3 linked regions of the Drosophila melanogaster genome follow. The protein of the gene in region 3 purifies or fractionates together with the protein of the main gene of each other region. This does not show direct contact. Each region holds a gene or a part of one and is shown on either strand. Other genes may lie near its edges.

What was found. The genes of interacting proteins can lie anywhere in the genome.
Region 1: the proteins of mip40 (region 3) and lin-52 purify together in Drosophila melanogaster (affinity purification with western blotting; 2 studies listed by BioGRID, with this or other methods). This does not show direct contact.
Region 2: the proteins of mip40 (region 3) and mip130 purify together in Drosophila melanogaster (affinity purification with western blotting; 3 studies listed by BioGRID, with this or other methods). This does not show direct contact.

What each region holds. Positions count from the first base shown.
Region 1 is NC_004354.4:5,752,384-5,756,776, forward strand, and holds lin-52 (lin-52), read right to left. Parts: upstream 2,576-4,393; 5' UTR 2,502-2,575; coding exon 2,462-2,501; intron 2,407-2,461; coding exon 2,233-2,406; intron 2,159-2,232; coding exon 2,054-2,158; intron 1,974-2,053; coding exon 1,819-1,973; 3' UTR 1,266-1,818; downstream 1-1,265. Other genes in the region: CG15772 (uncharacterized protein), read left to right, coding at 486-1,265; CG15771 (uncharacterized protein), read left to right, coding at 3,672-3,821.
Region 2 is NC_004354.4:1,906,416-1,911,744, reverse strand, and holds the start of mip130 (Myb-interacting protein 130), read right to left. Parts: upstream 3,507-5,329; 5' UTR 3,393-3,506; coding exon 3,390-3,392; exon of another isoform or gene 2,918-3,389; intron 2,826-2,917; exon of another isoform or gene 2,295-2,825; intron 1,105-2,294; exon of another isoform or gene 989-1,104; coding exon of another isoform or gene 1-988. Other genes in the region: Rbcn-3B (Rabconnectin-3B), read right to left, coding at 1-988; Edem1 (ER degradation enhancer, mannosidase alpha-like 1), read left to right, coding at 4,126-4,250, 4,311-5,329.
Region 3 is NT_033778.4:19,290,222-19,294,173, forward strand, and holds mip40 (Myb-interacting protein 40), read right to left. Parts: upstream 1,976-3,952; 5' UTR 1,877-1,975; coding exon 1,073-1,876; 3' UTR 884-1,072; downstream 1-883. Other genes in the region: Fkbp12 (FK506-binding protein 12kD), read left to right, coding at 1-4, 165-235, 297-515.

The sequences.
Region 1 (4,393 bases), on a different chromosome or scaffold from region 3:
GGGCCGAGTCCCTATATGCACATCCACACATGCCCATCGGCTGGCGCGACCGAGTCACCGAGAAAACTGAGCCCGAGTGCAACGAGAATGCGGGTCCGAGTGGCTCCGACTTCGGACTTGGGAAGGCACTCGCGTGGCAACAATCGTCCAGGGCGCACGGCAAACACGCAGAGCTGCCGGAGGAGATAGGCCGCTGCTTCTTGGGGGCCACATTCGTACCCCGATCCAAATCCAGACCCGCTGATCCATCCGCCTCATAAATACACACATAATTTCTGCCGCTTTGATTGGGGCACGCAGTAAGTTGATTGCAATTGCAATTGCCATAGCCTTTGACTTGCTGCACGTTCGCTCTTCGCTGCTCGCTATTTGCAACAAGTAATAATGAGGGCGGGCAGGGGGTGGCTGGGTGTTTGGCCAACGCAGCGACCTTGGCCTGGTTTAGGCACTTGCCTTAAATGCATTTTGTCGTCATTGCAGCGCACATGGTGGAGGAGATTGGCTGCCAGAGACAGACGGGCATTGTGGTCGCCATGCCCAGCCAGGTGGCATCCAACACCGGAACTCCAGCCCCATCCGCCGGCGGCATTCACCAGCAGCATCAGCAGCAGCAACACCAGCAGCACCAGCAGCAGCAACACCAGCAGCAGCAGCACCAGCAACACCAGCAGCAACAGCAGCAGCAACACCAACATCAGCAGCAGCAACAGCAACACCTTCAGCAGCAGCAACACCACCAGCTGCAGCAGCAACAGCAGCAGCAGCAGCATCAACAACTCGCCAGCAACATGAGCCTGCTGACCGTCAAAGGCGGCCGTTACCTTTGGACCGACCGGGAGCTGTTGATGCACCTCCAGAACTACACTCCCCTGATCCTTCTCATCGATTTCGTGGAGAAGACCCGAACCAAGCGCTTCTATGAGAGCTCCGAGCGCTATGAGATACTCATGCTGGTCTTCATCATGCGCAAGGGAGCGCCGTTTTGTGAGAACAAGCGCTTTCCAGCGGAGTACTGGGTTAATCTATCGGTGGGACCAATTGCCGAGGCGTTTGACCGTCTGCAGGCGGCCATCGATATACCGGATCCCCAGCTGCCGATCCACATGAGCGTTACAGATTTGACCAGCTGGAAGCAAATGTTCGACCTGGCCATGCTGGATATACGGCGTTTTGCGTACTACACCGATCCCTTGCAGCTGGCCGATGCGGGCGTCTTTAACCGGATCACCTTTGAGCAGCGATTCGGAATGCAGTGGCAGGAGTAATGGGAATTGATGCACGTTACTGGATATATATTCACGGGAAACAGCATGTAAGCACACCATCAGCACCAACACACTTTCCCAAATTGGGATGGATCGTGGGGAAGGCTACTGCATAAATCCGAACGAAAGCATTTAGTTAAGTATTAATAGGACGCACTAGAGCGCAACCGATCCATCCAATCCCACATAGACAGAGTTATTTGTTGCGTTAATGTCCCTGCATAGCGAAATCTACTGTGCCTTCTCCAAAAACTCCAGATCCTTCTGCATTCCTTTCCCTCCAATCCGTCAACTTCATCTCTCCTCCGACTCCTCAAATGTATCTGTAATACAAGCGACGTGTAGGACCCAAAATGCTTTAATGGAAATAAACGTTAGTTACTGTTCAAACGCCTGCCTATTTATCTTTGTAAAATAGCGATAAATCATTCACAACACGCATTACTCACTATAAAAATAGCACTATGTACACTATGAAACTACACCTATGTTCCTAATGCGAATTCAACGAGATCCTCGACAGTCCCATTCTTAGGGATCGGATCATCCAGCCTCATGGCTGCCGCTTAGGAGCGCGATCCCGGTCAAAGATGCCCAGCAGTTTCCCACGAGTCATCTCCATTGCCTCACGCAGTCCCAGCTGGTAAATTTCATCATGCATTGACTTTATTTTATCGATCAGATCCTCGGGAGGGAGCTGGGCTAGTTCTGGAATAGAAAAGTAGGTAATGGATATGCTATTCTTTAATATACTATTCTTAAATCTCATTGACTTTGCAGCTACTTACCATTAATCTTAACCATATCATCATCGGTCAGATTGCTGGTGTAGTTGGTGCTGCGCGTGTACATCGGCGTGTCGCTCATGGAGAGGAACTCGTCCATTCCGGGAACTGGAGCAATCGAAAATAAAGATATGCGTTAAAAATGGCGCCAATTTCTTCGTGCTCACGTTTTCTACACTTACAACGCTCTGGCCATTGGACAGGTGAGGGTCGCAGAGTTTCCATGGAGATGAGCTCGTCTTCCGGCGTTATGGGCCGCTCCTTGACCTCCGGGACATCCTTTTCGGCCAATAACGTACTACTGCTGGACGCTGAAGCCTTCTCCACTTCCTCGTCCGCCGCTTTTAGAATGGTTTCTGCAAGAAAACCTCGTTTTATGGCGCCTTTCATGTGATTTAAATATTTACTCACCTGTAGAAAGCAAATCCGTAGTTGTCTCTGCGTTGCTCATCGCGGATAATGTTGAAAAACTCCAAAAACTATTGAAAATAAACACGGAAAGATGCCAAAAAATCCGTGGGCTAATCACTTGCCACCTCGTTAAACAAAAACTATAGCGTTGCCACTTTCAACAATCACTATCGAATACTATCGATTTACCGCCAAGCCAGTGCTAGAAAGCACCAGGAAGTATAAAACAACTGATATTTTTGGTAAACAAAGAACTGTTGTTATTGCTTTTCCTGGTTTTATTAATAGAAGTTAAAAATAAATGGCACAACAATTAGGAAATGAGCGTGCCTCGACTTATACTAAATTCAGAGTGGAGAGCAGGCGTCGTAGCAGAGAAACGCGAACCTCTCCGCGACCTCTATCGTGCTCTCTTTTCCACTCACGGTCGTTTAACGGCGCATAGAGACAACTCTGCGCTAGGTCGCCTGCTCTCGTTCGCTCTGGCGCGCAAACGGCACTTGGCACACTTCGCACAGTGGCGCCAAAAAATATGTGCCCGTAAAAAGCACATGTGCTGCGCAGTAGTTGTCCAGAACAACACAACACGGATGTCTAACCAGTTATTGAAATAAACTTATTCAAGAACATCTTAATAATAATATAAAATCTTAAGGAATAACAATATCTTATCAAGTTTTTATCAATTGGCGCCGCCGCCTGGTAGCACTGTTCGCATACGCAGACTTTTGGCCACCACTGTTTTCCCATGCGCCCTCGCACTTTCTTTCGGTTTTTCATTCGCTGCTCCGCTCTCACTCAGTCAACAAGCACTCATACACACGCGCTCACCTGTTCCGCCGCCCCGCTACCCCGTCTCTCGACATTACTGCGACCGCTCCCGTTCCGTTTCATTATTTTTTTTGTCGCTGTCATTCAGTTGCCGTTTTAACTTCGCCGCGCGAGAAGCGGAAACTTTTGCCAGTCCGCTCGAGGAAAATAGAAAAATACTGCAGTGCTGCTGCAGTCGTGCAGCTCGTACATTTCGTTTCGTTTCGTTTGGCGCCAATTTCAAAGCGCAAATCCGCTGGCGGATTGAATTGCACCAAAGTTGTTCTTGGATCTCTACGTTTGCATCCATCCATCTAACCAAGCAACCGGCTACCACCCCTCCACTCCTGACAGTGACCCCTCGCTGACCCTCCATCCCCCCCTCCGCTCGACGACTCTCATGGCAGCTAGCAAATTCCATTGCGGCAAGCAATTGACAGCCACACATTCACATTTCGATGCGACATGTGCGAAAATCAGGGCCTTTTACTTTGACCTGGACAACACGTTGATTCCCACCAGAGCCGGCGATTCCAAGGCGATCAGAAAGGTGAGCTTTGTTAACCAAGCCAAGGCAGACAGCCTCACTGCCCCCTCTGCCAATCACCAATCCGTTGGCGTTTCTTCCGTTTCTTTTCCATGTAGTGTTTGTGGGGGGGCGGGGCGGGGGAGGTGAAAGTGCGCAGCAGGCGGGCGACCCAGCTAGAAAATTTTCCACTGCAGCCCGCCCGTTGTTACGTAGTCGAAAAAACCCGGACGCTCGGCAGATAGCACGCGCCCGAAATTTCGATTGTTTATTTGCGTTCCGATTGATTTCCTTTCCCTTCCCTTCACATCCCCCAGCCACAAAAAAAAAAAAAACAAAAAAGAAAAACTCAGAGTGCACTCGACAAGGTCTTAACTTAAATATAACCACGGGTACATGCACTTTAGAAGGCTAAAACCCACTAAATAATCGGCATTACGTTGGAAATTCGGAATCTTCGGTTTTCGAAATGTTAAAAGGCACTTTACAGGATCTTATCGTGGTGCGCATTATCGATTGCAAACGATTGCAAAAAGGTCGGAAATCGAGGAACTTGCACTTAACAAAAGTTGAACGAAACGTCATACCAACAAACT
Region 2 (5,329 bases), on a different chromosome or scaffold from region 3:
CGGCGCCCTGAAGCAACTTCATGGCTGGGGGGCACGACAGCACCTTATCACCGGCGTGTTGCAACACGTAGTAGAGGTAAGGTGCATCCCTGACCACACTCTTCGAGTGGAACTCCTTGTTGTCGGGAATGCAGTTTGCGGGCAGCTTGTACAAGTAGCCCTTTCCCTCATCTGTCCATAGCATTACCCGGTCGGAGGTGATGAAGTCGCCGCCCTGCCAACGTTCCCTTGCGGGAGCAATTACGGAGCAGAGTACAGTGAAGTCGCCGGCATCGTAGATCTGCCAGTATTTGGTACAAACTAAGAGCACTGTGCGCTGGTTCTGGGCGCAGCAATTCATGGTGATGGCATTCAGGCAGCGGATCTCCTTGGATTCGTTCTCGTAAATGGGCTCCGCGTGTTTGTTCTCGTTACCCGTCAGAGTCCAGACCTTCACGGTTCCGGTGGTGGTGATGGCCAACACTACGTCATCCTTGCGACGCATGGGGCGCAGTACGTGAATAGCGGATATCCAATCCGGTTTGACCTTTGAGCTGAGCACGTAGATCACCTCTAGGCTGAACGGATCCATGACCATGATTTCAGCATAGTAGCCAATGCAAAAGAGGCGCACATCCTCGCTGTTGGCGGTGTGGTAGCTCTGAATTTGGGTGTGCACCTGTGGAAGCTTGACCGCCTCCATGCACTTGCCGTCCGTAAGATCCCAGGTGCACATCTCTCCGTTCTCAGACGAGCTGACCAGGAAGTTGTTCTCCGGCAGAAGCGAGGCACGCACTAAGCACAAAACGGGCGCCGAATGGCCCACCAAGAGGCACCGCGGCGACATCTTCAGGGTGGTGGGCTCCACTTGCCAAAGGCAGATCTGTCCATCGTAGCAGCCGGTGACCAGGGTAAACTGATCGTCCGAGAGGAACACGCTAGAGATGCAGTGCGTGGGCGCGGTGGGACCCCACAGCACCACGGGTACCACCAGATTGGTACTCACCATGGTGGTGCGCTTTACCCAATCTGTGCGGTGGCTCTCCTTCTTCTCCTCCTCCGCCGGCTTCCTTCTGCTCCCTGCTCGTGTCGCTGGTAATCGTTGCTTTGCTGCGACTGCGGGCTCTGCAAGAATAGTTATTGAGTAAACATTTGCTCACTTCCACCTAGTGGATGCGAATTATTTATGGTGGCCCCTGTGTGTGTATGAACTCCAGTTGTGGTCGGCTTTGAGTGCGTGGATGGTGCAGTGAAAGCTGCTAGTCAGTGACTCACCCAAGGTCCTTCGAATTCTGTGATTTCTCATCATCATTTTATTCAACCTGCTTTCCTAGCAGCTAATAGTGCTCTACAACCCACAGCTGTACGATGTAAATTGAAAACTGAATTTATATGGCGTTCTTAATGGAAAAGATGAATGGCAAAAGGGGTAATGTTGCCTAACGTTTTATAAACAAGCTCAGTTTCTCATTTCCTGTTGAATGTTTAAACAGACTTCGGGAATAAGCGAAATCGAACTAAGCAAAGTTTACATTTACAGCTTATGCAATTTGTAAACAATATAAGAACAATTAAAGGAACAAAGTGCAGCCACATTGTCGAGACTTTTCATATGCTTAACTGACGATTTTTGGGCCACTTACAGGAGAAGCATAACAAATTGGGTTGTAAATTCAAAAGTATTTATAGAGATCCATCTTAAATCTTTACCTAGAGTATGTGATAAGATAAGAACTTCCTATTTTTATGGATAGATTATTTGGTATAGCTACAGTCTTGGGTCTTGCGAGCTGGTTCTCTGGTCTGATAGTGATTTCTGTGTGTTATAGTTGTATCAATCAGGAATATGACTTTATCGTGTTAGAGAGTTCTTCACAGGGCTTTCCCCTCCTAGCTTGCAGGTGAATTTGTCAGTCGGAGTGACCTGCAAAGCTCTTCAGATAAGACCGCATTACAGGGGACACTCGTTCCAGCACACGCCACCTTATCGGCACATGTGTCCAACTTGGCCAGCCTCCACTGTACTCCACTCCACCTCGGATTGTCCAAAGATAAACAAGGGTTATACAATACATATGTGCGGCAAAAGCAGAGACTCAATCCGCGGATATATATCGGGTTTCGTGCGGAGCTGGGTATATGGGAGGGCGCCTGATGTCGCCAATTGAAAGATCAATTAATTGGCCGACTATTTGGCATCGCAATTTGAGCGGATTTTGCTTCTGCTATCGCACACAAACACACACACCCTCACACCTGGACACGCACACAGGGACAAGCCATAATAATTGTAGATAACTGGGCATTTATCTAACATTTTTCAGCAGTTTTCCGTATTGGGCTGGCTGCCGCGCGTGATTCCTCCGCTATGGATTCCGATTCCGATGCCAATTCCAATTCCAATTCCGAATCCGAGTTCGATTCCGAGTCAGCCTGCTCTCGATATGGAGAACTTAATGATGGTCCGCTACTGGTGGTGACGCTGCTTATTGATCCTGGTCGACGGACATCGCGGTGGCGGAGCAGCGGACTTCAATGTCGATTTCGATTCGATTTGATTCTAATTTATGGACACGGGACGGGCGAAACGCACACCACCCCCCGAGCACACCAACACACCAACACCTTTCCGCTGTACAGATTGCTTACAACACACACACGTTGCGTTGCTGTTGCTACTTTGTTATTGCTTTTGCTCGCCACTTTTGCGAACTGCTCATATTTGTTGCACACACTTTCCGCTGGAACATGCACTCCACGGGATCAAAACACTGCACTGTACTTTCGATTTACTTAGCTATTTCCTTTTTTTTTACACGAGTGTGAAAAAAAAGCAACGAAAATCGACCGTGGAGTAAAATTTTTCGATAGATTTGCGTGAGCGGATAGGGTTGCAACCGCAGCTCCGGACGCTCTTCTATCGATGCCATGCGAGGGGCGACAGCCCTGACCAAAAAATTTAATATTTTTCTTTAATTGTTTATAAATATGCAAACAACTGGGTGGAAACACGATTTCCAGATCCCAAATGGCACACGCTTATATCTACGGTCAACGGGATGGTTTCAATGTGGTTTCTGGTCAGCCAGAGGCAATCCCGCATGTATAGACCCACAATGTTGTTACTTTTCGCCCAACGGACAATTAAGCATACGCGATTGCATTTAAACGATCGCCTTACGCGGAGTACAAAAGGCACACGGGCCGTGATGCAGTTACTCCGCGAGGTTATAGTCGACCCTCTTTCTGAGTTTTTTTTACGCGGAGAATGATTCAAAACCGAAACACATCGCTGCCCATCGCCAGAACTGCAATTCGCAGTCGGAAGCGTAACAAAGGCTGCGGATTTCTTGGTCAGCTCATCCGGAGGATGTCCGGGTGTGAAACGGGTGCAGAGGGCAGTTACTTACCATAGGGTACAGTTGCTTCTATTGGAGGCGGTCGTTTCGCTGAATATTTTGAATTTAAATCACTTTTTACCCGTACGAACACACACTTTTGAATGGCCACAAAAAAAACTGGTATGTGCTGCCAACTCGACGCGAATAAAAGTATAAAGGAACGTGTGCCGCGCAAAGCAGTGACAAACAATCGGTATATTTGTCATCACAAACTTTTTGAATTCTTAAAGAAATTGCCATTTAATTTTTCCAACCCGACTTTAATATTGCCGCGCTGATTTTACGGCTATTCTGAGCTGTTGTATTCCTTTAACAAGCAATGACCACCATGCAAATTCGATCTGACCACCCTTTCGATAGTTATTCGATCAGCAACAGCTGATTGCACCCTACGGAATGACATATCCTATTGCTAGGGATTTTGTTGGGTAAAATTAACGTACTTCAGAATTGGCGGAGAATACAGTGTTTGCTAGCCTATAGTGTTTGGTTGTTACCTTAAAAAAGCTCTTTGGCTTGTGTTCTTTCCCCCGTTTGCTACTCTAAGCGCTCTATAAAAAAACACTCACCGAACGGAATTAGTAGGGCATTCGGCGGTCGATGCCACCGCCGAATCAGCCCTTGTTGTGATTTTGCGTCAACGTAGCCGCATTTGACTTCCACACATCCCACATCCACGCTGGCTATGGAACACTGACCATGCCCATAATTGAATTAGCGGCCCTGATTGATTGACTGTCCCACGATGCAGCAAAAACCCCGAAACAACGGCTATCCGGGCACCCTCATCTGCGCGGTCCTCCTCGTCCTGCTGTCCACCGGTGTCAGCGGCCAGAAGCAGTATTCCAAGGCAAGAAAGTTGGAACTGAGGTGGGTCATTGCTAGGGCTAAACTCGGACATACTAATCCTAACCGGCAATGAATCTGCAGGGAGGATGTGCGGCGCATGTTCCAGCACGCCTACGATGGTTACCTGCGCCACGCCTCCAACTACGATGAACTGCGTCCGCTGACCTGCGATGGCCACGACACCTGGGGCAGCTACTCCTTGACACTGATCGACGCTCTGGACACGCTGGCCACCATGGGCAACTTCACGGAATTCCGCCGCGCGGCAAGACTGCTCGAGGAGAAGATGGATTTTGACAGGGACATCAACGTGTCCGTGTTCGAGACAAACATCCGCATCGTGGGCGGGCTGCTGTCCGCGCATCTGCTCTCCAAGCGTGCTGGCGTAGAGCTAGAGCCAGGATGGCCCTGCAAGGGACCTCTGCTGCGACTGGCGGAGGATGTGGCCCGACGATTATTGCCAGCCTTCGTCACGAACACGGGTATGCCTTATGGCACGGTGAACCTGCGCTATGGCGTGCCCAAGGGCGAGACCTCTATAACCTGTACGGCGGGCGTGGGGACATTCCTCATCGAATTTGGTACCCTTAGCCGGTTGACCGGGAAAACCATCTACGAGGATGTTGCTATGAAGGCGGTACATGCTCTATGGGCATATCGCTCGCCCATTGGACTTTTTGGCAATCACATCGACGTGCAGAGCGGTCGTTGGACCGCCCTCGACTCTGGTATCGGAGCAGGAGTGGATTCCCTTTTTGAATACCTAGTTAAGGCATCTGTCCTGCTCAATCGCCCAGAACTCTTGGAGTTATTCCATGAGGCTCGCGCGGCCATTGATAAGTACATGCGGAAGGAGGACTGGTACGTGTGGGTAGGCATGAACAAAGGCCGCGTCACCCTTCCCGTCTTTCAGTCCCTGGAGGCGTTTTGGCCCGGCATCCTGAGCATTATTGGCGACACGGAGCCGGCCTTGCGCACCATATCACGGTACATTGGGGTCTGGAAGAAGTACGGCTTTCTGCCAGAGTTTTATAACATTGCTGCTGGAGAGGCATCGCCGAATCGGGAGGTGTACCCCCTGCGACCGGAGCTAATCGAGT
Region 3 (3,952 bases):
GATGGTGAGTATCCAATGATTGGGTTAGAATCCGCAAGAAATGCCGTAAACTACCGGCCTTTCTAACCTATTTAGTGCATTTTCGCAATGCACAATTCGGAAATACCTGCGACAATATGGTCGTCCCGCTCACACACATCCATTTTTGCATTCCCCGCCCGCAGGCAGCACCTATCCCAAGAATGGCCAAAAGGTCACGGTCCACTACACCGGCACCCTGGACGATGGCACCAAGGTGAGTACGAATCCCGATCCTCGCCATCCCCAGCTAATGATCCGCCTTGAATTCCACGCAGTTCGATTCGTCGCGCGACCGCAACAAGCCATTCAAGTTCACCATCGGCAAGGGCGAGGTCATCCGTGGCTGGGATGAGGGAGTTGCCCAGTTGAGCGTCGGCCAGCGCGCCAAGCTGATTTGCTCGCCGGACTATGCCTACGGTAGCCGTGGCCACCCCGGCGTCATTCCGCCCAACTCCACCCTCACCTTCGACGTCGAGCTGCTCAAGGTCGAATAGGCGCACAGGATGCCCAATGTGTATACCCCAAACCAAATCGCAGGGGGTTGCGGACCGGCGCACCGGCGACGAGCCGAAGAACATCATAATCGGAACCAGAACAATCCAGCAGCATTTGCCAACCCAAAATAATAATGATAACTTCATACACAGCTCTAAACTAGAACTAATTTAACCGCAAAGGGAACGCATCTTCTACCAATACAAATAAACATTTATTCAAGTCAATGACAAATGTCTTTCTTATCAAAAATCTTGGGATAATCCAATCAAATCAGCTGCGGTTGCCTTTCCGTGCTGCAATACAAATGCATTTCATATTATTTTTTAATCAGGAAAATATGCAAATATAAAAACGCTTTATCATTCTCTTGATAGACTTGAAGTGGTCTACTTGACAAATTTGATTTTATTTTATATAAGTATATAAAGTGTACAAGCATCTTATTTGCATATATATTCGATTTGGAAACAGGATTTTTTTTAATTCTTTGTGCACAATTAATCCAAATTATTTTTCATTTTCTATACCACTTCCAAAATCACCTAGATACGCTTCAGTTTTTGCAGACCAAGCTCATAATCTTGTCAATAACTTCATATCGCTCCTTTTCATACTTCTTGATATGCTTTATCCAGTGTCCGCGCACTTTCTTCCAGCGGTTCATATTGGAGGACAGAAGATCGGAGGTACTGGCACCTTGGAGAGCCTTTTCCCGCTTCTTGTCCTCCTGGCTGAACTCCAGACGAGGCGGAATTATGGGCAGATCCGTGGACTTGGCCTGCGGGAGCTGGTTGATCACCTTTATCTCGCCGCTTTTAATTTGGGACAGGATTTCTTCGCCGTTGTCCTCACGTTTGGTGGCCGTGAGTGAAGCATCTGTTTGAAATGCACCCACAGCTGGATTCTTGGGTTGATTTGCCATCCATGCGCGGCATATGGGGTACAAAGGAGTCTTATCCTGGTATTTGGACAGGTCCAAACTTCGCTCAAACAGGCGCATTACGTAGGTCTCGCCGGGCGCCTTCTGGGCGACTGCCGCTGCTCCAACGCTCTTCTTGTAGAGCACTCTCCTGGCCTTGATGCGTCCTCCGGCGCCGGCTGCGGCTGCACTCGAGGATGTCGAAGGCTTCTCGCTAGAGCCCGACGTGACCGTCTTGACTTTCGGATCTAGCTTTACCTGGTACTGACGCTGCTGTTGCTGCTGGATGAGCAGCTTCTTCGAGGGACGGCCCCGAATGGGCAAATCCGACTCTGCGTCGTCGTCCGGCGGCAGGTTTGTCGTCTCTGGTTTCTGCTCCTCACGGCGCGACTCCCGCAAGCGCAGGGCCGTTTCCTTCTTTTTCGGCACAGTCTTCATTTCCAGAAATCTTGTATTCGACACGAAAATTAAGGGAAAACAATTTCGAATGCCGAATCGGAAATCAAACGGACTTACGGCGCTTCACAACACTGAAACACCACTTCGCCACGCAACACTACATAAGTCAGTGGTATTTCAAAAAATACCATAAATTAAAGAAAACAAACGGTCTTGGCGCCTAACGCTAGCTTGAGAAATAATTCTTTGAATTATTTGTAGCTTAAATGAAAAGAAAAAAGAATAACATATATATTTTTAAACAAAAACTTAATACACATTAATATTTGACTATTCAAAAATATTTAATAGACTTTGATTGTTAAATTAATACTTTTGTAGATTAAAAAAAAAAAAACAAGGAAATGAAAGTCTTAAAAATTTGGTATTTCTCGATTTGGTAATTTTAACCCAAAACCTTTCGGGCTTTTCAACCCACCTTTTATGGTCACACTGCTGTTTTGTGATCGCGAAAAGAGCGACGTGAAAAATACATTTAATTAAGTTTACTGCGAAAAATAAAATAAATAACTAAATTAAAACAAAGCGGAGCTTTTGCGTGAACTGTGTGTGTAGTTGTGAGTGTGTGAGAAAAGAAAAACGAAAACAAAGCCAACGAGGAAATCGAAGGGGCAAAAGTGGAAAAGATTCAGATTGAAAAGCACCAAAATATCGAAATCACAATTTGAATGTCAAAGAACAAACGACAAAAAGAGCGGAGCAACAAAGGAACATTGGAAAAGTCAAGAATTTAACTTATTCGGTAAGGATGCAAATTGTAAATCTGTGGATTTTGCTTCTTCTGCTCACGCACACATCCACATACAATTGGGAAGTGCACAGGTGTGGGTGGATCTGCTCTGTGTGCAAATAACAAATTGTGAAAAACAACTCGCACACATGCAGATCACCTAGTGCACCAAATAAAAGCAATAAATAAACACATTTCCAAACGGGCAACAAGTTGTGAATGCGTTTTTTAAGGGGGAGGGGCCATACCAAGTTTCCCAACGTTTCACATTTTCAATCGATCTCGGTTGTTTTTATATATGTATGGATATTTTTTATCTACTATTGCGTAGCTGCCAATGTCACCTGTTTTTTGCTCTCTCTCTCTCTCTCTCTTGCGCTCTCTCCCTCCCTCTCGCTCGCACCCACGCTGGCTGTAGCTGGTTTTTATCTTGTGCCGTTAACACAGCCATTACGTGTCTCTTTCGCACTCGCACTGCACATTGGTGTTCGTGTGTCTGTGCAAGACTGCACGTAACTGTATTACCCATTCGTACATGCGTATACGTATTTCCGCCTATTGATAACGGCTGAAACTCCCTCGAAATGGCCGTCTTTTCGAAATATGTAAACGAATCGTTCGGGTACATCCCCCGACCACCACCCACCCACCGCCCACTCAACCCCCTCCAAGCGCTTCTAATCGCAAAGTGCAAATATTGATTTGCTATGTGTGCTTTTAGATTTTCTCCCACTATCAATAACAATAAGCGCTCTCTGTACGTTGTTTTTGCTTCGGTTTGGTTTCGTATTAAGAAAACAAGTTCACAAGTTTTTGCACTTGTTATGCACTGTAAGAAAAACGCAAGTTTTATTCAAGAGCTCCGCATTACCGCATTATATTGCCAATTGTGAAACTTTTATAATATTTATACTAGCAGCTTAGTTTTGTAACTTTCGGAAATAAAAAGTTTTGGTAAAACAAACAAGAAACATTTTATTTATTTTTTTAAGTGTTGATCATTGTTGCTGTTTCGTTTTGTGACTTTGTTTATGTGGCGGTTTTCTTGTAATTGCGGGAATTTCCCGGCATTTCAGCAGTTGAGAGTGCAAATATAAAGCAGAGAGAGAAACCCTCATCTGTTTGTGATTATCTGAATTCTTCTTCCGTATTTAAGCGTTAACTCTGCTTTTGAGCGACAAGGCTGTTAAATATTTTCAGCTATAACACCAAAATTACCCTTTATCTCGCAATATATTAATAAATACAAGTCTCCAAAAGACGTCATAAATTAAAACGCGATTTAAATGACGTTTAAAGCGACTTCTAATTTATGTATGTTTATC